Saccharomyces cerevisiae S288C: one gene and its partners. The gene in region 1 interacts genetically with each later gene. Each region holds a gene or a part of one and is shown in the gene's direction. Other genes may lie near its edges.

Evidence for each region. A genetic interaction does not mean that the proteins touch.
Region 2: mutations in RAD52 (region 1) and REV7 together harm fitness more than expected from each alone (negative genetic interaction), as found in Saccharomyces cerevisiae (5 studies listed by BioGRID, with this or other methods).
Region 3: mutations in RAD52 (region 1) and NUP60 together harm fitness more than expected from each alone (negative genetic interaction), as found in Saccharomyces cerevisiae (7 studies listed by BioGRID, with this or other methods).

The regions. Positions count from the first base shown.
Region 1 is NC_001145.3:211,969-215,592, reverse strand, and holds RAD52 (recombinase RAD52), read left to right. Parts: upstream 1-1,662; coding exon 1,663-3,078; downstream 3,079-3,624. Other genes in the region: NDC1 (Ndc1p), read right to left, coding at 1-1,404; SRC1 (Src1p), read right to left, coding at 3,438-3,624. UniProt on the Saccharomyces cerevisiae protein: Involved in DNA double-strand break (DSB) repair and recombination. Promotes the annealing of complementary single-stranded DNA and by stimulation of the RAD51 recombinase.
Region 2 is NC_001141.2:87,408-90,645, reverse strand, and holds REV7 (Rev7p), read left to right. Parts: upstream 1-1,929; coding exon 1,930-2,667; downstream 2,668-3,238. Other genes in the region: TMA108 (Tma108p), read left to right, coding at 1-698; tropomyosin TPM2, read left to right, coding at 931-1,416; AXL2 (Axl2p), read right to left, coding at 2,809-3,238. UniProt on the Saccharomyces cerevisiae protein: Required for DNA damage induced mutagenesis. Involved in DNA repair, mitochondrial DNA repair and translesion synthesis. Has a role in the bypass of abasic (AP) sites.
Region 3 is NC_001133.9:150,357-154,447, forward strand, and holds NUP60 (FG-nucleoporin NUP60), read left to right. Parts: upstream 1-1,900; coding exon 1,901-3,520; downstream 3,521-4,091. Other genes in the region: transcription factor TFIIIC subunit TFC3, read right to left, coding at 1-650, 741-810; ERP1 (Erp1p), read right to left, coding at 3,709-4,091. UniProt on the Saccharomyces cerevisiae protein: Functions as a component of the nuclear pore complex (NPC).

The DNA.
Region 1 (3,624 bases):
AAACGACATTATAGAATTTTTCAGTTTTTTTAACATCAGACGCATAGCGGTCATAAATGTTGTTTCGTGGGTGAAAATAGAGCCGTTAAAAGTTTGTGTCGTTTCATCTAAATCGTTGTCGTAATACGAGGACCTATGCCTTTTCTTGTTTCCGCGGTTAAGCAATACACTATCGTCAGTTCTTACCCTCAGCCTGTTTGGTGATTCATCTAATAAGCCGTTATCCCGTAATGGCGCCATCATAGAGGGTCGGTTCCCAAAGAGTCTTTCGTTGGCGCTTGTTAGTTTCCCGTTCTCATACATATAATCTAGATTTTCTACTTTTTTTTTATGTCTAGCAGTTGCAGAGCCCCCAAGATCTTGTACTGATCTTAGGTACTGCACAACCTTTTCATTGTTTATCTGAATGGTCTTCAAGCATTCATTGAGGATTAATGACCAAGTATTACCACTACTGCTTCTGAACTTGGAGTGATATATTGGTGCTCGCAATGATGGATCCAGTGAAGTGGCCCTATACGCTAGTTCCTGGTAGGCAGTCAACCTAGTAAATGGCTTGTCTGCAGAAAGCCCACTAAGCAGGGTTTCCATCGGCGTCGACGACAAATTCGAAATTAGCTTGCCCTTGTGCAGACAACCTATGGACATATGTGCGTCAAATGCTATATTTATGAATTCGAAAGTGATGAAGATAATGCAGGAGATTATTAGTAAATTTGTGACAGCTAGCACGCCATTCGTAAATGAATCAAATAATCCCGATTTTTGCCTGGAAAAAAATACTGTGGTAAAGATTGGTAATACGAACATGCTGATTACACTTAGAATGACTGACTTCTCCATAATCCTCTTGACACGCTCTAATACGTAGTCTTGTGGGGCCTGGAAAAAGTTTTCGCAGTTGAACGACAATTTGTCAGCGTCAGTGACATGATGTTGTAGGTTGTAAATCGTGGGAACGACTAGCCAAATAAACAGCTTATAGTATGGCTTCCATCCAGATCCGCCACGTCCGAAAACCACACCCAGTACGAATGATAAAAGGATGCTGCCCATGCTATAGACTCCCTGGTATACAAGAAACTTTACTGATAACAATTGGCCTAGAATGAAAGTAAGTGAATTAGCGAACCCAAAATTCTTTACATGCATGTAATTTTTTCTTGTCACAATGATCAAAAGGGAAACTAGGTTAAGAGCTAAAATATTGGGAATAAATGCCAATGCCAGTTCCCATAACGGTGAGTGTGGCAACGCCAGCAGTGAAATCACCACAGTTTGGATAATAGAACATATGAAAAACAACCTCGTAACTAAATGGTTGAATCGGGTCTTGCACACGTCGCTAAAGATGGTATGGTACGTGTACCGTGGATTCAACAACTCCCTTGGCGTCTGTATCATCTGCTTGCCCTGTAATGTCCTTTCGTCTTCTCAATCACACTTACTCATCGCCAAAGAGTCTGCTCTTCCCGTTAGTGATTCTCGATGTTATTATATTCTTTAGTCTGTTAAGAAAAGACGAAAAATATAGCGGCGGGCGGGTTACGCGACCGGTATCGAATGGCGTTTTTAAGCTATTTTGCCACTGAGAATCAACAAATGCAAACAAGGAGGTTGCCAAGAACTGCTGAAGGTTCTGGTGGCTTTGGTGTGTTGTTGATGAATGAAATTATGGATATGGATGAGAAGAAGCCCGTTTTCGGTAACCATTCCGAGGACATACAGACCAAATTGGACAAGAAATTAGGACCTGAGTATATCTCCAAGAGAGTTGGGTTTGGAACAAGCAGGATTGCATACATCGAAGGTTGGAGAGTAATTAATCTTGCTAATCAAATCTTTGGATATAATGGCTGGTCTACGGAGGTAAAAAGTGTAGTTATCGATTTTTTGGATGAGCGACAGGGAAAGTTTAGCATAGGGTGTACTGCAATTGTTCGTGTTACGTTGACTAGCGGGACTTATAGGGAAGATATTGGGTATGGTACCGTGGAGAACGAAAGACGGAAACCTGCCGCTTTCGAAAGGGCCAAGAAATCTGCCGTTACGGATGCCTTGAAAAGATCTTTGAGAGGGTTTGGTAATGCTCTAGGAAATTGTCTTTACGATAAAGATTTTCTGGCAAAGATCGATAAGGTGAAGTTCGATCCGCCAGATTTTGACGAAAACAATTTGTTTAGGCCAACGGATGAAATCAGCGAAAGCTCAAGAACGAATACTTTGCATGAAAATCAAGAACAACAACAATACCCGAATAAAAGAAGGCAATTGACTAAAGTTACAAATACCAATCCCGACTCGACGAAGAACCTGGTGAAAATAGAAAATACAGTAAGTCGAGGTACCCCAATGATGGCCGCACCTGCTGAGGCTAACAGTAAAAACAGCAGTAATAAAGATACTGATCTCAAATCTCTCGATGCTTCCAAACAGGATCAAGATGACCTTCTCGATGATTCTCTTATGTTTAGCGATGATTTTCAAGACGACGACTTGATAAATATGGGCAACACAAACAGTAATGTTTTAACGACAGAGAAGGATCCCGTTGTAGCTAAGCAAAGCCCAACTGCTAGCTCAAACCCAGAGGCAGAACAAATCACCTTTGTTACAGCTAAGGCTGCAACTTCCGTACAAAATGAACGTTATATTGGTGAAGAGAGCATTTTTGATCCCAAATACCAGGCACAATCCATTAGGCACACCGTTGATCAGACTACGTCCAAGCATATTCCAGCGAGTGTGCTAAAAGACAAAACGATGACCACCGCGAGGGATTCTGTCTATGAAAAATTTGCACCAAAGGGAAAACAATTGAGCATGAAGAACAATGATAAAGAACTGGGGCCTCATATGCTAGAAGGGGCTGGGAATCAAGTACCGCGTGAAACCACACCAATTAAAACGAACGCTACAGCTTTTCCGCCTGCAGCTGCTCCACGGTTTGCGCCGCCTTCTAAGGTAGTACATCCTAATGGAAATGGTGCAGTGCCAGCCGTTCCGCAACAAAGATCGACACGAAGAGAAGTTGGAAGACCAAAGATCAATCCCCTGCATGCACGCAAGCCTACTTGAAACGCTTCCTGGCCGAAACAAATAAAAAATTTGCATCATTATTTATTACTCCAAAATCCTCTAGTTACTCTTTCAATTCTGATTTTATTTGTATTTCTTCCTATATCGTCTAGTTTTTCTTTCCTCCATGTGTCGTATTAATATTTACTTTAAATCGAATAAAAAATTCTTATTATTTTACAAGTCATTTTCAGGATTAGATTCATTATAACTTTACAAAAGTATTACATAAAGAATTATATAACAGATATTAGGATAACCGTATAAATAGAATAAACTATACAAATATGGCAACTCGGAAAAACAATAGATCATTAAGTTTGAGAAGAGAAAACTACGTTTGAGTTTCATTTTGTGGGTTATATTTTGTTTTCAGCGGAATCCTTAGGTTCATTGAGTTCCATCGGACCTATCCATTCCCAACATTTCATTATTTCACCTCGAATTTCAGTTAAGTTCGATTTAATATTACTGTTATTATGCTCTAAATATTTTACCACTTCTGACCATAATTGATTTTTGTATTTCAGATCGACAATATCAGAA
Region 2 (3,238 bases), on another chromosome or scaffold:
AATGTGCTGAATTGTGTCAAATTTATTTTAAACATCTATTACAGGGCCCACGTTCGAGCGTACCGTTAGAATTAGTGAACTCAATCCTTGTCGTCGTATCGCAACATTGTGCAAACATCAAGCAGTGGAAGAAAATATTCGATTTGGTGAAACGCAGTTCCTGTACTGGTATCACAAACCATGTCATTAATATGTATGACCAAAACAGTAGCGAAACCGCCATGTTGATTCAAAACGGTGCAATAGAATCTCTTGGATTCTGTTTAGATTCTGATATCGTGAAAAAAACTTTGAATTTTATCACTTCCAATATTGAGTCAGAGGGGATGGAACTGGCATTATTCGGATTTAATTACAACTTTAAGAAGAGGCTGAACAAAAACGAGAAACCTCAAGACCAAGTCGTTCGTGAAACGATCTGGGAGTGGTATATGGGCAATTTTGACCAATGGGCACGGAAGGCTACAAGGAAAGGTACCACCACGGGGGATCATCTACACAAGGCGTTAAGGAGTATTTCCCTGATAATCTTTCAAATGTTTGTAGCAGACGAGCCACAGAAGATAGAAAAGTTTATTAATTTGGAGAAAGAGAAGTTGGGTCAAAGCTTGTTATCTTTGGACGACATCTGGGCCTCTGTCCAGCAAGATGAAGAGTCCAGAAAGACTATAAGAAGAGACTTGGCCTCCTTGGTCTGATTTTTTACAAGTATTTCAACACACTATCGTACGTAGATTTAGTAGTCTTCTAAAATAGTACTATAAACGATGTTCTCTTAGCAGAATTCGAGTTATTATTGTCATATACTACGAAAAACCTGTAGATTCAACAATAATAGGTTGGTATAAAAGAATGTAAACATAAGGAATATTAATCTAGTAATTTTTTTCTCATGAGGTTGAGAAAGCATCTAAAATAGCAATTAGCAAAATGGAGAAGATCAAAGAGAAATTGAATAGCTTAAAATTAGAATCTGAGTCATGGCAAGAAAAATATGAGGAGCTGAGAGAACAGCTCAAAGAATTAGAGCAATCTAACACTGAAAAAGAAAACGAGATTAAATCTTTGTCCGCTAAAAACGAGCAACTCGACAGTGAAGTGGAGAAGTTAGAGAGTCAATTGTCTGATACAAAGCAATTGGCTGAAGACTCCAATAACTTGAGATCTAATAATGAGAACTACACCAAGAAAAACCAGGATCTAGAACAACAGCTAGAAGACAGTGAAGCCAAACTGAAGGAAGCAATGGATAAACTGAAAGAGGCCGATTTGAACTCTGAGCAAATGGGTAGAAGGATCGTTGCTTTGGAAGAAGAAAGAGATGAATGGGAAAAGAAGTGCGAAGAATTCCAAAGCAAATATGAAGAAGCTCAAAAAGAATTGGACGAAATTGCTAATTCATTGGAAAATTTATGATTCCCATTGATAAGACTAAAATTACGGAAGATACAAACGACAAACGCGCTAAAGGCAACGGAGGTGATGATTTTATTATTGCTCACACAACTGATGTTGCTGACAGATGGCAAATCCTTTTCATTTTAGTTATTATCATTGGGTGCTTTTTGGAAAAAAGATGAACTAAGCCTCTCTTTATTTCGTCCATTTTATTCTAGCTTTTACATTATGCTTTCACCTTTACCAAAAAATAGTATGTATTTCTTTTCCCCTTGCTATAAATCAAAAGTACGTAGAAACATAAACAGGCGAGAAATACATATGCATATACGTCTACACTACTAATTTAATTTCCACTTTCTTAATATCAGTCAATCGAAACCACTAGCTTTCACACTAAGACTAGACCCTGTTTAACTAATATAAACTTTTCCAGAAAGCTAAAAAAAAGGTCGGAAAAAGAAGGTATACGTTTTTGCGACGACTGAGATCCAAGAAGAAAAAAAAAATAGTAATCGTTGCGTCAGCTTTATGAATAGATGGGTAGAGAAGTGGCTGAGGGTATACTTAAAATGCTACATTAATTTGATTTTATTTTATAGAAATGTATACCCACCTCAGTCATTCGACTACACTACTTACCAGTCATTCAACTTGCCGCAGTTCGTTCCCATTAATAGGCATCCTGCTTTAATTGACTATATAGAAGAACTTATACTGGATGTTCTTTCTAAATTAACGCACGTTTACAGATTTTCCATCTGCATTATTAATAAAAAGAACGATTTATGCATTGAAAAATACGTTTTAGATTTTAGTGAATTACAACATGTGGATAAAGACGATCAGATCATTACGGAAACTGAAGTGTTCGACGAATTCCGATCTTCCTTAAATAGTTTGATTATGCATTTGGAGAAATTACCTAAAGTCAACGATGACACAATAACATTTGAAGCAGTTATTAATGCGATCGAATTGGAACTAGGACATAAGTTGGACAGAAACAGGAGGGTCGATAGTTTGGAGGAAAAAGCAGAAATTGAAAGGGATTCAAACTGGGTTAAATGTCAAGAAGATGAAAATTTACCAGACAATAATGGTTTTCAACCTCCTAAAATAAAACTCACTTCTTTAGTCGGTTCTGACGTGGGGCCTTTGATTATTCATCAGTTTAGTGAAAAATTAATCAGCGGTGACGACAAAATTTTGAATGGAGTGTATTCTCAATATGAAGAGGGCGAGAGCATTTTTGGATCTTTGTTTTAAGTGCAAAAATGAAATTTGAAGAATGGAATTAAAATTAAATGTCTCTAAGTATAAAAACTAAATAAAATATAGGGTATCTGTAAACCACTAATAAAAAATAAAACAGGAAAATAAAATTAAGCAAAATATCGTTGCGTATAATCACAGCATTTCTGGGATGCGTCCGTGAATGTCCTTAACTTGACCAACATTGACATTACTCTTATTTGAAAAATCTACTAACCTTTTCTTACTTGGTCTTCTGTCTGGTTCCATGCTATGGACCCAGCAAAAATTTTCACCATCTTTAACCGGAACAAAATCGTCAGAAGATGAAGTTGACATTGTTGTGGGAGTGATTCCGTTTTTACCGCTTTGAGAGTCTTGAATATTTTGTAAGTGGCGGTTACGATGCTTCGTTACGTTATATGGTGATGGTGTTACTGATTTTCTTACGGGAGAAGGGCTAATATTGCTGTTCCAAGGGTCCAGTGAAGACATAGTGACATCCCTTGACGTACGTTTTTCCTTCTCTGGTGCTTCTAAATCGAAAAGTTTTTCTGTATCAACAGTTTTTTGTGATCCGTAACTG
Region 3 (4,091 bases), on another chromosome or scaffold:
TTTCTTTAAGTACTCCTTTTCATCTAACCATGCAATAGCTGCAATAAAAGCTTTAGAAAGTCTTTTCTCTTTGTCAAATTTCAATTCACGCTTTAAATCAATTATCTGGCGAATACCATTTTTTGATCGTTTTACCACCTCAACTATTGTTGCTAAATGATCCCTAATATTAATATAGGGATTACTATCCACCCCGTCATGGCTGAATTTTTTTAGCTTCAATTGCTTCACGACGTGTCCCTTATAAATCAGTTGTGAACTTGTTAACAGGTGGTTTATTTTCTTGATACGTCCAGTCACACTTCTAGGATCTTGCCCAGTTACCTGCGCCAAATCCATAGTATTGATCCCTTTTTCTCCTGATTTGGCAACTTCGAGAAGTAGTTCAAATGCAGAATTTCCAATAGTTGACTCCTTTTTTGTGTATCCCGTTAATAATGTCCATAGGCTGTCCTCAGTAATCCCAACCGAGTATGAATGATTAGCGTCGCCTATAATATCAGTCACATTTTTAGTTGTTATAGCACCATCACAATACACCTCAATGTCCTTTTTCAATATCACGCATGAAAGCACGAACTGTTTAACTTTTTTATCAGACAAATCAAAATATTTACCAGATATATCCCACAGCTGATTCAAAGTGATTTCTTCAATGTGTCGTTAGTAAATAATCTTTCACAATATAGTACGTTTATCACCTAAACGGAGCCGAAAAGGAGAATGAGACATGAACATACTTCCCTTATTTGAAGCAATTTTATCAGACACTATTTGTACGAGTTCGTCAGGATAAATCGTCAGTACCATTTTTCTTGTGGCTAGTTGGCTTCAACCAAACGTCCTCTTCTCTCTTATGGCAAGAAGAAAGTTATATGTGTGACTGGTTGTTTATTTCACTTTCGCGACTGAAAGCGCCGCCCTTTATGATGCAAAAAACCAAGCGGTATTTGAAAATGCAGATTTGCAGAAATAAAAGAAATAAAAATAAAAATCTTATAATTTTACCAGCTTCAATAACTCGATTTGCATAAGTGTGCCTTAGTATGCTTATTATATTGACTTTGACATTGAACTTCAAAACCTTTTATGTAATGATTTAAGTCTTGTCACATGACATAATAATAAATAATTTTAAAAATATAAAATATTTTTAATAGTTTTTAAATATTTTACAGTTTATTTTTTAAATTTATTTATATGTTTTTGTTTTCCGAAGCAGTCAAAGTATTTTAATTTTCGGAGCTTTCATTTCAAGCGCCTTTTTTTTACACATAATACGATCAAGATAAATTATTATAGTGGTACAGAACTCTTAAGCACTAGGCGGTGGACCTTATTAGCTCAATCTTGAGTCAGTCCATGTATCGTTTTATAATACTTTTTTAAGCACTTTCTTTAATAAATATTCCATTGAAGTACTGTTACTGAAATGAGATGAACTGTTCAGAATGTAGAAATGGCGCCAGAAATCAATCATTGTTTAGCAAAAACACCTTTCGTCTGCTGCCTCGGGTGTTTTTTCAAATTATTTCAGCAGGTAAATTAAGATAGTTATTCGAGTGATTGCCAAATATCATGTTCTACTTCGAAGACTTATAGCTAATTAATTTTTTCATAATGAAGGTGTCGTTAATTGTTCTGATTAGTAACATGAAACTCAAAAATCATCAAAAAAAGAAAAGCTAAATGTATACTTTTTTGTCTACATTAGTTACCTTTTATTACATGAGAAAGTTATTTTTCTTCTTTTTTTTTTTTTTTTTTTGAAACTTTTTCCTCTCGGAAAATAAAAGATATATTTACAAGTGAAAGCTTATTGTAATGTGTACTTTTAAACATCAAATAACAGACCTTTACATCAAATAAGCACCGCAAGATATCCTAAAATCGACATCCAATGCATCGTAAATCATTGAGGAGGGCTAGCGCTACTGTGCCTTCCGCTCCCTATCGAAAGCAGATTATTAGCAATGCACACAATAAACCAAGCCTTTTCTCTAAAATTAAAACTTTCTTTACCCAAAAAGATTCAGCCAGAGTGAGTCCAAGGAATAATGTTGCTAATAAACAACCACGCAATGAGTCTTTTAACAGAAGAATCTCAAGTATGCCTGGAGGTTATTTCCATTCTGAGATATCCCCAGATTCTACTGTAAACCGTTCCGTAGTTGTTTCTGCAGTGGGTGAAGCCAGAAACGACATTGAGAATAAAGAAGAGGAGTATGATGAAACACATGAAACTAACATCTCCAATGCAAAGCTTGCAAACTTTTTTAGTAAAAAAGGTAATGAGCCTTTATCAGAAATTGAAATAGAGGGTGTGATGTCATTGTTACAAAAATCAAGCAAATCCATGATAACTTCGGAAGGAGAACAAAAATCAGCCGAAGGTAATAATATCGACCAGTCGCTTATCTTGAAGGAGTCAGGAAGTACACCAATCAGCATATCTAATGCGCCGACCTTCAACCCAAAATATGATACTTCAAATGCGTCAATGAATACGACTTTGGGAAGCATTGGTTCAAGAAAATACAGTTTCAATTATTCTAGCCTGCCCTCACCATACAAAACAACCGTTTATAGATATAGTGCAGCGAAAAAGATCCCCGATACATACACAGCCAACACATCTGCTCAAAGTATAGCATCTGCTAAATCGGTAAGAAGTGGTGTTTCAAAGTCAGCTCCTAGTAAGAAAATAAGTAATACAGCTGCGGCATTGGTCTCACTATTAGATGAAAATGACAGTAAGAAGAATAATGCAGCTTCAGAACTTGCTAATCCATACTCCTCATATGTAAGCCAAATACGCAAACATAAGAGAGTTTCTCCAAATGCTGCACCAAGGCAAGAGATCAGTGAAGAAGAAACTACTGTTAAGCCATTATTTCAAAACGTTCCTGAACAAGGCGAAGAACCAATGAAACAACTGAACGCCACCAAAATTTCACCATCTGCGCCAAGCAAAGATTCTTTTACTAAATACAAACCTGCAAGGTCCTCATCCTTACGCTCAAATGTCGTCGTAGCTGAAACCTCACCTGAAAAGAAGGATGGTGGAGATAAACCTCCATCCTCTGCTTTTAACTTCTCGTTTAATACTTCAAGAAACGTTGAACCTACTGAGAATGCTTATAAGAGCGAGAACGCACCATCTGCATCATCAAAGGAATTCAATTTTACCAACCTACAGGCGAAGCCGTTAGTTGGAAAGCCAAAAACCGAACTTACAAAGGGCGATTCTACTCCCGTCCAACCAGATCTTTCGGTTACTCCTCAAAAAAGTTCATCGAAAGGCTTTGTTTTTAATAGTGTTCAAAAGAAATCACGGTCCAATCTTTCACAAGAAAACGATAATGAAGGTAAACATATCAGCGCCTCAATTGATAACGACTTTTCAGAGGAAAAGGCGGAAGAGTTTGATTTCAATGTTCCCGTGGTGTCTAAGCAGCTAGGAAATGGCTTGGTTGATGAAAATAAAGTTGAGGCTTTCAAGTCCCTATATACCTTTTGATAATGAAAATTTTAGCCGTGACATAATTACCGTATAGCCCAACTCAATACGTAAGTTTGTGTAAAATACCATTCCAAGATGATATTATTTAGTCATTTTTTTTCCACTTTCTCAAAAAGAAGGAATACCTTTAGCGGCTCTTATAAACTATAAATTTCTAGAAGATACATAAAAGGTTTTTAGTCTGATCATAAAATTTTTTGCTTAACAAAAAATTTGCCCAGGTGTTTCATTTGCCAGCCACAAGTAACAGCGAGAACAATTAATTGAATGACAATCCACCACATAGCACGAGAATTAACAGCTTCAGAGGCGTCTCTAAAGGTAGCTTCACGATCTCTCATCAATTTTTGCTCTCTTCTAATTTCGCCGATCTTGGAGTTTAGGACGTTAACCTTGGCATGTAGAATGTCAATAGTGGCTTTACCCTTAGAATCTAACTTTTCATCAGAGCCCACTTGGAATTCAACGTCAATCTTCGTTTTAGCCTTAATCAACCAGCCACCAGCTTCGGGCTGAATACAGATTTTATGTTCACCCGAATCAGACGCAAGGAAAGTTAAATCACCAC